4 linked regions of the Saccharomyces cerevisiae S288C genome follow. Changing the gene in region 1 together with any one later gene gives a genetic interaction. Each region holds a gene or a part of one and is shown on either strand. Other genes may lie near its edges.

What was found.
Region 2: mutations in EMC6 (region 1) and INO2 together harm fitness more than expected from each alone (negative genetic interaction), as found in Saccharomyces cerevisiae (4 studies listed by BioGRID, with this or other methods).
Region 3: mutations in EMC6 (region 1) and BRL1 together harm fitness more than expected from each alone (negative genetic interaction), as found in Saccharomyces cerevisiae (2 studies listed by BioGRID).
Region 4: mutations in EMC6 (region 1) and GWT1 together harm fitness more than expected from each alone (negative genetic interaction), as found in Saccharomyces cerevisiae (2 studies listed by BioGRID).

What each region holds. Positions count from the first base shown.
Region 1 is NC_001144.5:119,039-122,681, forward strand, and holds EMC6 (Emc6p), read left to right. Parts: upstream 1-2,283; coding exon 2,284-2,610; downstream 2,611-3,643. Other genes in the region: ATP-binding cassette bilirubin transporter BPT1, read left to right, coding at 1-2,073; mRNA-binding protein PUF3, read right to left, coding at 3,037-3,643. UniProt on the Saccharomyces cerevisiae protein: Part of the endoplasmic reticulum membrane protein complex (EMC) that enables the energy-independent insertion into endoplasmic reticulum membranes of newly synthesized membrane proteins.
Region 2 is NC_001136.10:697,831-701,960, reverse strand, and holds INO2 (Ino2p), read left to right. Parts: upstream 1-2,492; coding exon 2,493-3,407; downstream 3,408-4,130. Other genes in the region: ECM18 (alpha/beta hydrolase family protein), read left to right, coding at 1-564; YDR124W (uncharacterized protein), read right to left, coding at 672-1,646; serine/threonine protein kinase KIN1, read right to left, coding at 4,067-4,130. UniProt on the Saccharomyces cerevisiae protein: Positive regulatory factor required for depression of the coregulated phospholipid biosynthetic enzymes. Also involved in the expression of ITR1.
Region 3 is NC_001140.6:177,838-182,563, forward strand, and holds BRL1 (Brl1p), read left to right. Parts: upstream 1-2,507; coding exon 2,508-3,923; downstream 3,924-4,726. Other genes in the region: PIH1 (Pih1p), read right to left, coding at 1-162; GTPase-activating protein NEL1, read left to right, coding at 382-2,274; PUT2 (1-pyrroline-5-carboxylate dehydrogenase), read left to right, coding at 4,140-4,726. UniProt on the Saccharomyces cerevisiae protein: Involved in mRNA and protein export from nucleus.
Region 4 is NC_001142.9:260,580-264,994, reverse strand, and holds GWT1 (glucosaminyl-phosphotidylinositol O-acyltransferase), read left to right. Parts: upstream 1-2,442; coding exon 2,443-3,915; downstream 3,916-4,415. Other genes in the region: protein kinase activating protein DPB11, read left to right, coding at 1-2,238; DNA helicase SRS2, read right to left, coding at 4,048-4,415. UniProt on the Saccharomyces cerevisiae protein: Probable acetyltransferase, which acetylates the inositol ring of phosphatidylinositol during biosynthesis of GPI-anchor.

The sequences.
Region 1 (3,643 bases):
AAATTACTAGAGGAATTTGATTCTCCGATTGATAATGGAAATGAAAGCGATGTCCAAACTGAACACCGATCCGAAAGTGAAGTGGATGAACCTCTGCAGCTTAAAGTAACTGAATCAGAAACTGAGGATGAGGTTGTTACTGAGAGTGAATTAGAACTAATCAAAGCCAATTCTAGAAGAGCTTCTCTAGCTACGCTAAGACCTAGACCCTTTGTGGGAGCACAATTGGATTCCGTGAAGAAAACGGCGCAAAAGGCCGAGAAGACAGAGGTGGGAAGAGTCAAAACAAAGATTTATCTTGCGTATATTAAGGCTTGTGGAGTTTTAGGTGTTGTTTTATTTTTCTTGTTTATGATATTAACAAGGGTTTTCGACTTAGCAGAGAATTTTTGGTTAAAGTACTGGTCAGAATCTAATGAAAAAAATGGTTCAAATGAAAGGGTTTGGATGTTTGTTGGTGTGTATTCCTTAATCGGAGTAGCATCGGCCGCATTCAATAATTTACGGAGTATTATGATGCTACTGTATTGTTCTATTAGGGGTTCTAAGAAACTGCATGAAAGCATGGCCAAATCTGTAATTAGAAGTCCTATGACTTTCTTTGAGACTACACCAGTTGGAAGGATCATAAACAGGTTCTCATCTGATATGGATGCAGTGGACAGTAATCTACAGTACATTTTCTCCTTTTTTTTCAAATCAATACTAACCTATTTGGTTACTGTTATATTAGTCGGGTACAATATGCCATGGTTTTTAGTGTTCAATATGTTTTTGGTGGTTATCTATATTTACTATCAAACATTTTACATTGTGCTATCTAGGGAGCTAAAAAGATTGATCAGTATATCTTACTCTCCGATTATGTCCTTAATGAGTGAGAGCTTGAACGGTTATTCTATTATTGATGCATACGATCATTTTGAGAGATTCATCTATCTAAATTATGAAAAAATCCAATACAACGTTGATTTTGTCTTCAACTTTAGATCAACGAATAGATGGTTATCCGTGAGATTGCAAACTATTGGTGCTACAATTGTTTTGGCTACTGCAATCTTAGCACTAGCAACAATGAATACTAAAAGGCAACTAAGTTCGGGTATGGTTGGTCTACTAATGAGCTATTCATTAGAGGTTACAGGTTCATTGACTTGGATTGTAAGGACAACTGTGACGATTGAAACCAACATTGTATCAGTGGAGAGAATTGTTGAGTACTGCGAATTACCACCTGAAGCACAGTCCATTAACCCTGAAAAGAGGCCAGATGAAAATTGGCCATCAAAGGGTGGTATTGAATTCAAAAACTATTCCACAAAATACAGAGAAAATTTGGATCCAGTGCTGAATAATATTAACGTGAAGATTGAGCCATGTGAAAAGGTTGGGATTGTTGGCAGAACAGGTGCAGGGAAGTCTACACTGAGCCTGGCATTATTTAGAATACTAGAACCTACCGAAGGTAAAATTATTATTGACGGCATTGATATATCCGACATAGGTCTGTTCGATTTAAGAAGCCATTTGGCAATTATTCCTCAGGATGCACAAGCTTTTGAAGGTACAGTAAAGACCAATTTGGACCCTTTCAATCGTTATTCAGAAGATGAACTTAAAAGGGCTGTTGAGCAGGCACATTTAAAGCCTCATCTGGAAAAAATGCTGCACAGTAAACCAAGAGGTGATGATTCTAATGAAGAGGATGGCAATGTTAATGATATTCTGGATGTCAAGATTAATGAGAACGGTAGTAACTTGTCAGTGGGGCAAAGACAACTACTATGTTTGGCAAGAGCGCTGCTAAACCGTTCCAAAATATTGGTCCTTGATGAAGCAACGGCTTCTGTGGATATGGAAACCGATAAAATTATCCAAGACACTATAAGAAGAGAATTTAAGGACCGTACCATCTTAACAATTGCACATCGTATCGACACTGTATTGGACAGTGATAAGATAATTGTTCTTGACCAGGGTAGTGTGAGGGAATTCGATTCACCCTCGAAATTGTTATCCGATAAAACGTCTATTTTTTACAGTCTTTGTGAGAAAGGTGGGTATTTGAAATAATGACATTGATTATTATATATGAAGATATAGAACATTTAATGCGCTGCAATATGTACGGTCACGCCAATTCTTTTTCTTTCTATATGCTTTCTAGTAACCCGGGTAATCACAAATGAAGCTAGTAGAGATATAACTAAATACAACTTAATTTTAACCTTATGTTGGATTGCTCAAGCAGTGTTCGAGAAAGACAGCGGCAGACAGATAGAAATGAGCTCAAATGAAGAGGTATTTACTCAGATAAACGCAACTGCGAATGTGGTTGATAATAAGAAGCGTTTACTTTTCGTGCAAGATAGCTCAGCACTTGTTCTAGGGCTTGTTGCAGGATTTTTGCAAATCGAGTCAGTCCATGGGTTTATTTGGTTCCTGATTCTGTACAACTTGATTAATGTCATTTACATTGTTTGGATCTGTCAACTTCAACCAGGAAAGTTCTACCAAAGCCCACTTCATGACATTTTTTTCGAATCGTTTTTTAGAGAGATAACTGGTTTTGTCATGGCATGGACATTTGGATACGCCCTAATCGGATGAACATATAAGAACTACTTCTATAAACGGTTAGAAACAGGCTTGATTTATTATGTACAGTAAATATAATGTTATTTGTGTTTTTTTTTTTTAAATTTTTTTAGTTCCTTCTATGTAAAAAGACATGACAACAGTATTCTCAGTCAAATGATTTCAAATACACAATGTTAAATTCTCTATCTGTTGCAGAAATAAGAAGAGCGTAAGAGCGCAAAGATTTTTGCAGAAAAATAGAGATGAGGTACAAAAAGTAGGTAATGGAAAAAAGCAAATAATGAATATAGGGGAACATAAATGTTATGGACAAGAGTAGATATCAAAATAAAACAAAATAAAATAGAGTAAGTGAAAGACAAATGGAGGAAAAAAAAAAAAAAAAAAAAAAAAAAAAAATAGTAAAAAGTGAAAGGAGAACGATGATAACACTAATCACACCTCCGCATTTTCAACCAATGCTGCAAGTTTCTCAACACTGGCTAAATGTCTATTTCCTAGGGAGTTAGATTTGTTTAGTTTATCCAAATATGCTCTAATGGCAATGACGATCAATTTCTTACCCTCACCCTCAGAGACATTAACTAATTTTTGAATCACATAGTTGGCAAATTGATCCTTGATCATTAAAATCATTGGAGAATCGTCTTCCAGATTCAAAGCATGATTTTTGTCTCTTGGTAAAATCTTAGAAATTATTAAATCCTTCTGATTTTTAGAGCCATAAAGAATAGATTTTTCGACCACGTTGGAGGCAAATTTATGTTTAGAGTATTCGACAACATTATTGGCCACAGTTTCTATGATTTCCTGTTTGATATCGACCATTTCCTTATTGGTGAACTGATCTTGTTGCAAAACATATTGAATGACATAGTTACCATATTGGTCTTGAATTAGATATGGTATGAAATCTTTCAATTCGTTTAAAATGCTTTCCTGATCTTCGCTCGAACCAAATTCTAACAATCTTTGAATGACCCTACAGCCGTAGGAGTGGGTAGATAGATGGTAAATGTGGCCAGTTAAAGAACTTAAGATA
Region 2 (4,130 bases), on another chromosome or scaffold:
AATATCTGGTCTGTAAATAATAATTTCCACTCCAACACTCTTTATACTATCGATTTTAAAAATCCAAATTCCAAGTTTTACTCCAAAAGAAATATGATTCCAAAATACTTATTTGAACAACAATTTCACATTTTGAGAATGATGGGACCATTAGGAGCTAAGTTATGTTGGAATTACATAATGGCGGCATATAGCCGAGTCCCATCGTTGGCATACAAAGAGTACATATTTGAACTGTTTTACGGTAAGGGAGGTATACCGGAGGTTACGACAGATATTTTCAAAGCGTTATTTTCAAGATGTATCCTAGCAAAGGACCCCTTGATGGATTCTCTGCAATATTTAAATGTTAAGAAATTATTGATAGTATATGGGCAATATGATTGGATGAATAAAAAAGCCGGTATGTTCATGGTCAAAGAGTTGAACAATTTAAAGAACTGTCTAGAAGGAGCAAGTTATTTAGAAATACCTTCTTCCGGTCACAATCTTTTTTTAGATAACCCAGAATCATTCAACCAATCTATAGTGTCCTTCTTATCAGACGAAACTAAATCGCCTTGATAGCAACCAAATCAAGTAGCAAAGAGCCAAAAAATGTGTTAATGTATGCTATCCCCCTTTTTGCTTTTGCGCTCCTCACACCTCTTTTCTTTGCTTTGAAATTTTTCTCAAATAAAATCTTTACAATCATCGCTACTAGTTAATTCATCCAATTTAGTGAGGAATAACGGATCAAATTCCACTAAATTTTCTAATCGAGATATGCTATTCGAATAATCCTCCGATACAGGGTCTTTCGGATATTCCCTGGGGAAATACTCTGTGTCACTTTCTTTTGAAGGAAGGATCATCGAGGGTGAAGAATCGCTTCCACTTGACTGTTGTAACAAATCTTTTTCTACCTTAACCATTTTATTTACATCAAATCGACGACTATGGTATGATTTTTTCTGTTTTTGGGCTAGGTCATTTAAATCATCAAGTGATATGGTCTTCTGCTTGAAATCTTTGTTGCACAAGCATTTCGCAATTTCGAAAACATTTTTCATGATTACTTTCTTCACAGTTTCTTTCTTAAAAATGGTCATTGCGGCGGTCACTCCTGTAAGCTCGTCCAAAATCTCAAGGCTGAAGGGAGATTGCGGTAGAACATTCATAATTATCGTGCACATCAATTTCAGTCGATCCGCTTTCTGGAGGTGGTCCGGCTCTTTATGTTCTACATCTTTTGGCCACCATTCCGGCCTTCCAGCATTGCCTTTAATGTATGGAAACCTGGTTTTCTTCCTTGGCTCAATAATTTTTATCCACAACTTAGCAATCGCCTTGCATGGGACCTGTCTTAATAATTTAAAAGCCGTATACAGATAATTCTGTATTAGTAGGGGTTGATCTAAGGGTAGCATGATCGCTGGTTGGATATTTTCTTCATAAACAGTTATTCTTTTCCTATTTACCAATGGATCGAACGTGAGTGGAGGGTTTTTTTCAATTGAAGATGATATAAAACTCTCTGAGAACAAGTTTTTTGGAATTGACTCACTTATTAAATGGTCTTTTTCCTTTATGAACACCATAAACTCATATCCTTGACCATTTAGCAGCGCCAGCGCCCTTCTAAGCTCTTCCATACCTATACGCATGTACTTAAGCTGACTCTATCGAAAAATGACGTACGCACAAATGCACATGTATACATACGCAATCCATCCTTTATATAAGCTGAGAAACAAGCAGAGGAACCTGCTTCAGTTGGGCCATCCCTTCGATGCTATATACTTCTAATCTTAAACTCTTCACTAAGACTTCGCAGGCACCGCTTCAAGGATGTCTCAGGTCGCGAGATTACTACAACAACTTAAAACAACCCTGATGCAACTGCAGCGTGCTGTTTTTCAACAGTACAAGAAAAAGTTCCATATTGTGCCATTGCCGATGCCATTGCAAAGGAATTTGTTCTCAGTCGCATCTCTCCTTTACTGCAGATCTGAGTTACTTTGAATCCTTGATAATATGGATCGAGTGCCTCTTCCATTATTTCTATTATTATAATCTCAACGCTTAATATGAATTAACCAACCACACTCAAACCAAATCTACGCCAGCTACAAATGGTAGGAGAATGAAGACACACCAGGACTCAAACAGGATTTCCCAACAATGTCTTTCAACATGCTGCTTGCCGGTCACTACTGCACTTCCTGCGCCTTTTCCGTTGAATCACCCTCCATAGTGCGGCAGATGGAACCAACCTAACCTTTTTTCAGCAGGAGGTAAAAAATTCGCCGGTTTTCTATCTCCCTCCGTCATCGGCAGGGCGTTGACACCTGTCCAAGTACAACACACATGTGAATTTTTTTCAGTGATTAAAGGCTCATCTCATCATATCTTATTGTAATCAGTATTTGGCGTCATAAGCAATTCGAAATTGGTTCGGTTCCATCTCGTTGACGTGCAATAAATAAATACATGGAACAGCAAAGGAGAAAATGCAACAAGCAACTGGGAACGAATTACTGGGTATCCTAGATCTGGATAACGATATAGACTTTGAAACTGCTTACCAAATGCTCAGCAGTAACTTCGACGACCAAATGTCTGCGCACATACATGAAAACACGTTTAGTGCAACTTCCCCTCCTCTGTTAACACACGAGCTCGGCATAATTCCTAACGTAGCAACCGTGCAACCCTCTCACGTAGAAACTATACCTGCCGATAACCAAACTCATCATGCTCCTTTGCATACTCATGCACACTATCTAAATCACAACCCTCATCAACCAAGCATGGGTTTTGATCAAGCGCTTGGTCTCAAGTTGTCTCCTTCCAGTTCGGGGTTGTTGAGCACGAATGAATCGAATGCCATTGAACAGTTTTTAGACAATCTAATATCACAGGATATGATGTCTTCCAACGCTTCCATGAACTCCGAATCACATCTACATATAAGATCACCAAAAAAGCAGCATAGGTATACCGAATTAAATCAAAGATATCCTGAAACACATCCACACAGTAACACAGGGGAGTTACCCACAAACACAGCAGATGTGCCAACTGAGTTCACCACGAGGGAAGGACCTCATCAGCCTATCGGCAATGACCACTACAACCCGCCACCGTTTTCAGTACCTGAGATACGAATCCCAGACTCTGATATTCCAGCCAATATCGAGGACGACCCTGTGAAGGTACGGAAATGGAAACACGTTCAAATGGAGAAGATACGAAGAATAAACACCAAAGAAGCCTTTGAAAGGCTCATTAAATCAGTAAGGACCCCACCGAAGGAAAACGGGAAAAGAATTCCCAAGCATATTCTTTTAACTTGTGTAATGAACGATATCAAGTCCATTAGAAGCGCAAATGAAGCACTACAGCACATACTGGATGATTCCTGAGCTCATACAAGCTATTAGTGATGAAAATGGCCTCCCGTTGGATGTATTTTTAGTTAATTTCGTATACATGGGCGAAAATATCATATGATTGCAAAGCTGGTCATGTAAATATATTCATTATAAACCAGACGGTAGAAAATCTCGTTTCTTTCCAGAGTGTAGCGTAGATTTTTGCGGACAAGAATTACCAGTATCTTCATTTTATTTAGAAGTTAAGAGAATCCGGAGGCAATGATGGTGAAGTAAAGAAATCTTTCAACGGCGAAGTATAATCTGTCTTCACAAACAGAATAACTGCGTACAAACTCGCAGTTATATGACCGTTACGAGTTGTATTGATTCAGTGAAGTAATAGTCCTATTACATCCATATGAATCCTGTCCTGGTAAACGGTGCAATGATCGCTCTACGTATACAAATTCTCTCCATCAATCGATGATGAACTGCTTTACACATAAAGTACGTGCCATTTATTTATAAATAATACCAATTAAGGGACGAAAATATTAACTGCTGAGTGTCTGCTTAGGTCCATTCTATTTCTTCTTTCCAAAAGAGAATAAAAAGAATCTATATATATATATAAATTTCTATCGAACGGATATTCTTGTTTTCGAATATCAAAAATGTAAGCTGTGGTTTCTCAGGGAACGTGTTACTTACAACTTTAGTTCTTTTAATATACTAGAAGCCAGCTCTTTATACAACCAAGTGTTCCCAGAA
Region 3 (4,726 bases), on another chromosome or scaffold:
TTGCAGTTTTTCCGGCCCATTAGCGGATAATAGTTTTGTCTTAATTACAAAATCTGCGATGGGCTCAATTTTAGACACCGATCCGTCTGCAGCGTCCACCGACACGTACTTGTCCTCGTTTCTATGACGTTGCTTAATTGGTCTCAATAAGAAATCGGCCATCGGTTAAGGTCTGTTTGTTCGCTTTGAAAAGTCTGTTCCCTGTATTCCTTTTTCTTCCATGCATATGAATTCAAGAATTCCTAGTTTTTTTCTATCATTATTGTCTTCTGATTTTTTTTAAGGAAAAAAAATATCAAGAGTAAAAATAGTGATCAGGTACTGAATCCTGTATTTGTACAATACTGCAATCTAGCACCAAATTTGGCCAAGGAAGTGCCTATGTGTTCTCCAACTAATTTCTTATATGAGCCCTTTTCCAGCGATGCTGTGACGCAGAACTATGACCAAAATCTAAAATGCACCAAATGTGGCGCCTATTATTCGATGGCTTGTTCCCTACGAGAACAGAATGTTTGGACTTGTCTATTCTGCAACCAATCAAACTCAAATGCTGAATTGCCACTGGTACCTTCCAACACCTATACATTGACTTCTGCAAAGAAAGAAATACTTTCAAGACGGACCATTATGATTATAGACGCTATTTGCGATCCTCATGAGCTAAATTATTTAGTTTCCATTCTATGTAATAATTACATCACAAGACAACAAGAGCCACTATCAATAATTACTATTCAGCAATCAGGTCATGTGATTTTACACAATGCTGTGAATCACAGACGTGATGCTGTATTTTCAATAAATGAATTTATGACCAAATATAATCTTGATAAATTAAATGCCAGTTACTTCGAGAAAAAAATTTCAGAAATCAATCAAGAATCATACTGGTTTGATAAATCTACTCAGGGTTCTTTAAGAAAATTGCTACGGGAAATATGCAAGATTGCAAACAAAGTGAATATCAGTTCTAAAAGGGACAAGCGTTGCACCGGATTAGCGCTGTTCGTTTCATCCGTACTGGCGTCTCAGTGCAGTTTGTCAGCCTACTGTCATATAGTTTCATTCCTGAATGGTCCATGTACTAAGGGTGGCGGCAAAGTTATGTCAAGAGAACGTGGTGAAAGCATGAGACAAAACCACCATTTTGAATCCAAAAGTTCACAATTGCAACTATCAAAAAGTCCGACAAAATTTTACAAGAAAATGCTTGAAAAATTTGCAAACCAATCGTTAATCTATGAATTCTTTATAGCTTCATTGGATCAAATCGGTATACTCGAAATGAGTCCATTAATAACTTCGTCAATGGCAGTTTCTCAGTTTGATTCATTCAATGATGAGAGATTCGCAATGTCTTTTCAAAAGTACCTGAACTTGCGTGACCATAATGCCATTTACAATTGTCATTCAAAGATAATGACCGCAAAGAACGCTATTGTCGTTAAGGACTTCCCAAAATATAGCTTAAACCCTAAAAACCTTTCTCTACCATTAGAAATCTCACTAGGTCACAATTCAGCTGAAGCTCCTATACAGTTTCAAACCACTTTTGAAAATCAAACGGAAAAATACATAAGAATTGAAACCCTCTTATTGCCAAAAGCCAATAGATCATTTGGGGCACAAAATGAAATTGTGTTTTCAATGAAAAAGATAGCCTCACGAATTATCGATAGCTTTGCTTACTCATCCAAGCACACTAAAGAATTGATGAAGCAATTGTTTCTATTACCAAATCAAATCCGGGGAAAAGACGTAGATATGGTCAATCTGATACAGTGGTGTTATCATATATATAGGTCTCCAATTCTATCGGTTCGGAATACTTCACCTGATGAAAGGTACCTTTTTCTTCACCGAATAATAAACGCTTCTAAAGACACATGCCTTTCATTATGCAAACCCTTCATCTGGAGTTACAGTGATTTGAAACACGACTGGATCGTGTTGGATGTCCCATTAACAAGAGCCCAGATACTTCAAGATGATAAAACCACCATTTGTGTAGATGGTGGCTCGTACTTAGTTTTAAGAAGGGGAAAACTTTTGGAAAAAGAAGGTCGCGAGCTCTGTTGCAAGCTTTTAAATGACTTGCAAAGGTTTCCGCAGCCATTATATGTTGAAACTAAAACCGGTGGCAGTCAGGACCGTTTCTTGAAAAGCAAAATTATTCCCTTGGACATCACTGACAAGGAAACTCTTGGTACAGAGGATATGACATTCAATGAATATTTCAACTTGTTCACCGATCTAAGTGGAAGCAAATAACTCGCTAAATATTCTTGCTGCACTTTGCGACGCCTGTATTGGCGAAAACAAAAAGTAAAGAAAAAAAAACTTTAGATGAAATAGAGCAAAATTCCCTAAGACAATAGAAGATACAAAAGCAAGTTGGGCCCTTAATTTCATCAAAGGTATAGCATCTCATCAAATAGTCGCTTGTTTATCGCAATACTTGCTTATTGAGTAGTTGTATTATAACGTTATATAGGATCTTCCATATGGAAAGTTTTGAAAATTTGAGCATAAGAGACAGTTTCACTAGCGGAATGGAACACGTTGACGAGGAGTTAGGAGGCCTCTCCGACCTAAGTATATCTAAGCAGGGGCCAACTTTGTCACCACAGCTTATCAACCGATTTATGCCCCATTTTCCCTCGAGCCCATCACCTCTGCGAAATACATTGGATTTTAGTGCTGCTAAAGCTGATGAGGAAGAAGATGACCGAATGGAAATAGATGAGGTTGATGATACAAGTTTTGAAGAAGAATATAATAACGAGCCAATCGAAACTCATACTGAAGCGACTGAGAATGCCGTGGTGGAAGAAATCGAGGCTACCCCAGAAGAAAGACAAAAGCAAGAGAAGAATGAAAGCCAAGACCAAAGTGTAGAAGAGGTCGAGAACATTGTTTCACCGCATCGTTCAACTGTCATAAAGGCATTATTATCACCGACCGATTTAGGTGTGGCCGCAGCTACTAAAGTTGAAGGTGTTGTGCCATTACCACCATCGGCCAATCAAGATGACAATGAAAGTTCGAATAACAACGCAGAGGGTGAAGACATAATCAGAAATGAAGAAGTCGAAGATGAGATCAAATCATCACTTGGCAACCACAAGTCAAGCCAGTACGCAAATGCGTTCGATTCGGAAATAATCAAGAGGGAATTAAGATCAAGATCAAAATATCAACCAATTCAGGTTTCATTCAATACACACAACTACTTCTATTCAGATAAGGACGGCATTAAAACTTATTCTCTTACTAAACCAAATCACAATAAAATAGATGAATTTTACGACCAAAATGAAGCTTTCAAGTTGCCTAAACCATGGTCACCCAATTCACATCCGGCATCAAGAGCGTCATATGCCCTAATGTCATATTTACAGTTATTTCTCAATGCGATCACTACAGTAGTGATTTTTAGTTTTATACTCTCATTTATCATAGCGCTTCAAAAGGACTTGAAATCCACATGGGAACAAAGAAAACATGAACTGCAGTACGAATCCAGAATTTGTCAAGAGCAGTACCTCACAAATCGTTGTAACCAGACGCCTGGCTTGCCGGCTCTGGGCGAACAATGTGCTATATGGAAACAGTGTATGGACAGAAATAACGATATCTTTTTCCGTGCAAGATCAACGTTGAGCGCAAAATTGTTCGGAGACATTATCAACTCATTCATAGATCCATTAAACTGGAAAACACTATTTGTTATTTTTTGTGGTGTGATAACTTGGTGTTTCAGTTCGAATTTCTTACTGGGTTTTGTAAGAGCCAAGAGCTACTATGGCAATGGCATCAAAACATATCCCTTGCCATCTTCACCGAAATCGCCGACATCAGAAGAAACACACTCATCTATGACAGCATCTGGAGAGGACTCACACCTACTTAAGCAATAGATTGTGCTATCTGGGACAGTAACAATGCTTATCTACGCCATCGGACATCTCGGGAAGCCAACTCCGAAGCCGACAAAAATTGGATAGGCCTACTATATAAGGGTGACAGGACAGCTGACTTTACTCCAGAAGTATATCCATGGAAAATATGTAATAATACAAACAAGTTAATATAATCTATATTGTATAGAAGGCCAATTCAAATTCACAGGAATTATGCTATCAGCAAGGTGCCTCAAATCTATATACTTCAAGAGATCTTTCTCACAACTGGGACACATCAAGCCCCCCAAGCACATAAGAAATGAACCTGTTAAGCCATTTAGAAACATAGACTTAAAAGACTGGGACTTACTGAGGGCTTCCTTGATGAAATTCAAAAGTTCTTCTTTAGAAGTGCCACTGGTCATCAATGGGGAAAGGATATATGACAATAATGAAAGAGCGCTTTTCCCGCAGACTAACCCTGCGAACCATCAACAAGTACTGGCAAACGTCACACAAGCCACGGAAAAAGATGTCATGAATGCTGTAAAAGCCGCCAAGGATGCCAAAAAGGATTGGTACAATCTACCGTTTTATGACAGATCTGCAATTTTTTTGAAAGCCGCTGACTTAATTTCCACCAAGTATCGTTATGACATGTTAGCTGCTACAATGCTGGGCCAGGGAAAAAATGTGTATCAGGCAGAAATCGACTGTATCACGGAATTATCTGACTTTTTTAGATACTATGTCAAGTATGCATCAGACTTGTATGCTCAACAACCCGTAGAGTCAGCGGATGGTACTTGGAATAAAGC
Region 4 (4,415 bases), on another chromosome or scaffold:
GCTAAAAAAATATCAAAGAAAATTATTAAGTTAGGAGGTATATTTTCTAAAGATTTGACCAGACAAGTTAATGTCCTTGTTGTTGGGTCCACCACCAATACAAACAAATTTAAATTTGCGGTGAAGCATAGATTCGATATCATATTTATTGACATTCAAGCCATTGATGACATTTATCAGCTCTGGCTGTCTGGAGAAAATATATTGCCGGACTCTAATACGGCAACAATGACAGGATCCACCTATGAGATGCTGAAGATACTTTACCGGCGATTTTCGTTTAAATATTTGCATAACTTCAATATCTTCATTGGCAGAATAACCGACACTAACATAACTTCCATCGATTCATTGGTTAGGAGTATTAAAAAGTTAGGGTGTTCTAGTTATAACTATCAAAACTTTGTAATCAAAGATACCTCTTCACACAATGATGACGATGATCAAGGTCAGAATGGGCAGATATCCATTTTTGTTACGGATACTTTACTAGGAGCAAGAGTTAACGCTGCTATTGAACAAAATATACCTATTGTACATTTCAAATGGATTCTCGATTGCCAAAAAAGAAGCGCACTGTTACCGTACGATCCCTATTATCTTTTACCAAATATTAAAGACCTGCCCTATGATTCAATCGGATCAAACTCTTGCGATTGCTGGGATAAAATAAACACCACCTTTCCAACCAATATCGATGCCCAATCCTCTCTGCAGCGGCAGCAATCCTCCAGTACCCTGACTCCTTCGCTCCCGAAAACATCATCCCTCTTGAATAAATTTAAACCAAAGGGTGAAAAAATATGGGACAAGGCAATGTCTCTACAGCAGCATAGTAAGACAAATTTTTCAGTACTAGGGCAGTCACCATTATCGATAAATAACAAACAAGAAGATTTAAGTGATAATAGTACTTTGATTTTCAAAAATTGTGCGTTTATCATTCATCATATTTTTCCTGGCAATCACCGTTCAATACTAACCAAAATTGTTGTTCAAAATGGGGGTAAAATTGAGACGTCTTACTTGAGCGGCATTTACGATCATTCTTATTACATCATTCCAAGTAATAAAGCTCTTGACTCCTTCAATGATTTACCTGAGATTATAGATGATAATGATGGTATAGTTACAGAATTTTTCATTGAACGCTGCTTGTATTATCAAAAATTACTACACCCAATAGATTTATGGTCAAAACCCTTCCTCAGCACAATAGAGTTTCAAGTTTCGTCTTCTTCAAAGTTATTGCATCATGAATTTTCTTCTTCCCCTTTTCTGAATGTTACTATCACTGGATTCTCTGGCGTAGAGCTGTTACATCTGACTAAAGTATTAAATCTTCTAAAACCAATGGGCATCAATTATGTAGAATACCTCAATAAATCCACTGACATTCTGCTAATCAACTTAGCAGCTTTACCCAGTATCCCGAAAACCCATCCGTTATGGTCGAATGAATTTAGCGATCTTTTTACTCAGTTTTGCATTAATAACAATAATGATGATCCTGGTGATAATAACAGAAAAGATTTTCAAAATAATTCAATCTTGAGAAATTCGATGAAAAGGAAAATTGAATATATCAAGAAATTCCACTCCATACCGGTAGTTACTCCAGCATTTATTTTTAAATTATTGTCCGCTGCATCTGGAGAAAATAATGAAATCTTTTTAAACAATATCAAGTGGTGTATTATCTGCCCAAGAGGACACAAGGACGATTTTAAATGTAAGATAAAAAAACCATACTATACCAGCATTAGTTCAGAAAAAAAGTACCAAAACAATGATCCAAAAATCGACAAAACTATTCTTTTGAAAAGAAACAATTCCTCATTATCGGAGCACTCTATGAAAGATACCAAAAACGAATTATTGCAGAAAATTAGAGAAACTGATTCTGGAAGAAAAAAGCGTAGTGTCTCATCGAGTATCATGGATGTTTCTTCAGAGAGACAAATGCCGGATACGAAAAGGATCAAGTTGGAGTCACTGCCAAAAAATTTCGTTCCTAAACAAATTAAACGAACCACGAGTTGGGGCACAATAATGTCAGAAAATGTGCCTACAGAGCAGCCGACTGCAATTTCTAATCCAGAAGAGATCCCAAGAACTGAGGAAGTTTCACATACTCAAGTTACCTATGGCTCCATTCAAGATAAGAAACGTACTGCCTCTTTAGAAAAACCTATGAGACGACAGACAAGAAATCAGACAAAGGAATTAGATTCTTGAAATGTAGTCCGTAATTTTATAAGATATTCATTTACATACGCCATCTACAGCATTATTCAAATCTACTCATCTATATGTATTACCGTTTTGTATGATAATACTTTCCATGACATGCTCGCGTGAAAAAACAGCATGAGAAAAAGAGGATCGCAATAAGAAGACACGTAAATATCTAAATAAATGGCAACAGTACATCAGAAGAATATGTCGACTTTAAAACAGAGAAAAGAGGACTTTGTGACAGGGCTCAATGGCGGTTCTATAACAGAAATTAACGCAGTGACATCAATTGCTTTGGTAACTTACATATCATGGAACTTATTGAAAAATTCCAACCTTATGCCTCCTGGCATTTCCAGCGTGCAATACATAATTGATTTTGCATTGAACTGGGTTGCTTTGCTTCTATCTATTACTATTTATGCTAGTGAACCATACCTTCTAAACACGCTAATACTGTTACCTTGTTTGCTCGCATTCATATATGGAAAATTTACTAGCTCGAGTAAACCTTCTAATCCAATATACAATAAAAAAAAAATGATTACACAGCGGTTCCAACTAGAAAAAAAGCCGTATATTACTGCGTATCGTGGTGGGATGCTTATTCTGACTGCTATTGCCATCTTGGCTGTAGATTTTCCAATTTTCCCAAGGAGGTTTGCCAAGGTGGAAACTTGGGGGACATCCCTGATGGATCTTGGTGTAGGATCATTCGTTTTCAGTAACGGTATTGTTTCTTCTAGGGCACTGTTGAAAAACCTAAGCTTGAAGAGTAAACCCAGCTTCTTAAAAAATGCATTTAATGCCTTAAAATCAGGAGGAACTCTATTGTTCCTAGGATTGCTGAGGTTGTTTTTTGTAAAAAATTTGGAATATCAAGAACATGTCACAGAATATGGGGTTCATTGGAATTTTTTTATCACCCTATCATTGTTGCCACTTGTATTGACCTTTATTGATCCCGTCACAAGAATGGTTCCACGCTGCTCAATTGCAATATTCATTTCATGCATTTATGAATGGCTACTTTTAAAGGACGATCGCACTTTAAACTTTTTAATTTTGGCTGATAGAAATTGTTTCTTCAGTGCTAATAGAGAAGGCATCTTCTCATTTCTAGGTTATTGCTCGATTTTTCTTTGGGGCCAAAACACGGGATTTTACTTGTTGGGAAATAAACCAACTTTAAACAATCTTTATAAGCCTTCTACGCAAGACGTAGTTGCAGCATCAAAGAAGTCTTCGACTTGGGACTATTGGACTTCAGTAACCCCATTAAGTGGCCTCTGTATATGGAGTACAATTTTTCTTGTTATCAGCCAGTTGGTTTTTCAATACCATCCTTATAGTGTTTCAAGAAGGTTTGCTAACTTACCATATACTTTGTGGGTCATTACTTATAATTTACTATTTTTGACTGGGTACTGCTTGACTGACAAAATTTTCGGTAATTCTTCGGAATATTATAAAGTTGCCGAATGCTTGGAATCAATCAACTCCAATGGGTTGTTTTTATTTTTGTTGGCAAATGTCTCTACTGGTTTAGTCAATATGTCTATGGTCACGATAGATTCTTCACCCTTAAAATCATTCCTGGTTTTGTTGGCATACTGCTCATTCATAGCTGTCATATCGGTTTTCTTGTATAGAAAAAGAATATTCATTAAGCTATAATAACACACCATCCACATTTCCATGTAGTTCGTATACAAACCCTACCAGTAAAATAAAATTAACTCCTATGTGCTTTAAATAAAAATTATAAACCGCCTCCAATAGTTGACGTAGTCAGGCATGAAAGTGCTACTAATCGATGACTATGATTTCACCGTTGTTTAATTTTGACTTTTTTTTCGCACGTGACAGCTGAGAAAATATATCCATTTGACTTGATGCAGGTTCATTCTTCACCTTTTTGGAAAATTTCTGTGTCTTTTTCATTGCTGCGTCAGCCAAAAACTTAGCATTGGAGATTATTGGACGATTGTCAACTGTAGTGTCATCCGGATTATGTAATAACTCAGCAGCTGTTGTATTTCTGCTGTCATCTTCCTCAAATTCACTCTTCAAATCTATCACTTCCTCCACCTTAACCTTGTCACCTCTCTTAGACTTTCTATTTCGAGTTTTTGGTTTTATTTTTTTCGTCTTTTTCGAGCCCAAAAGCTCTCTCC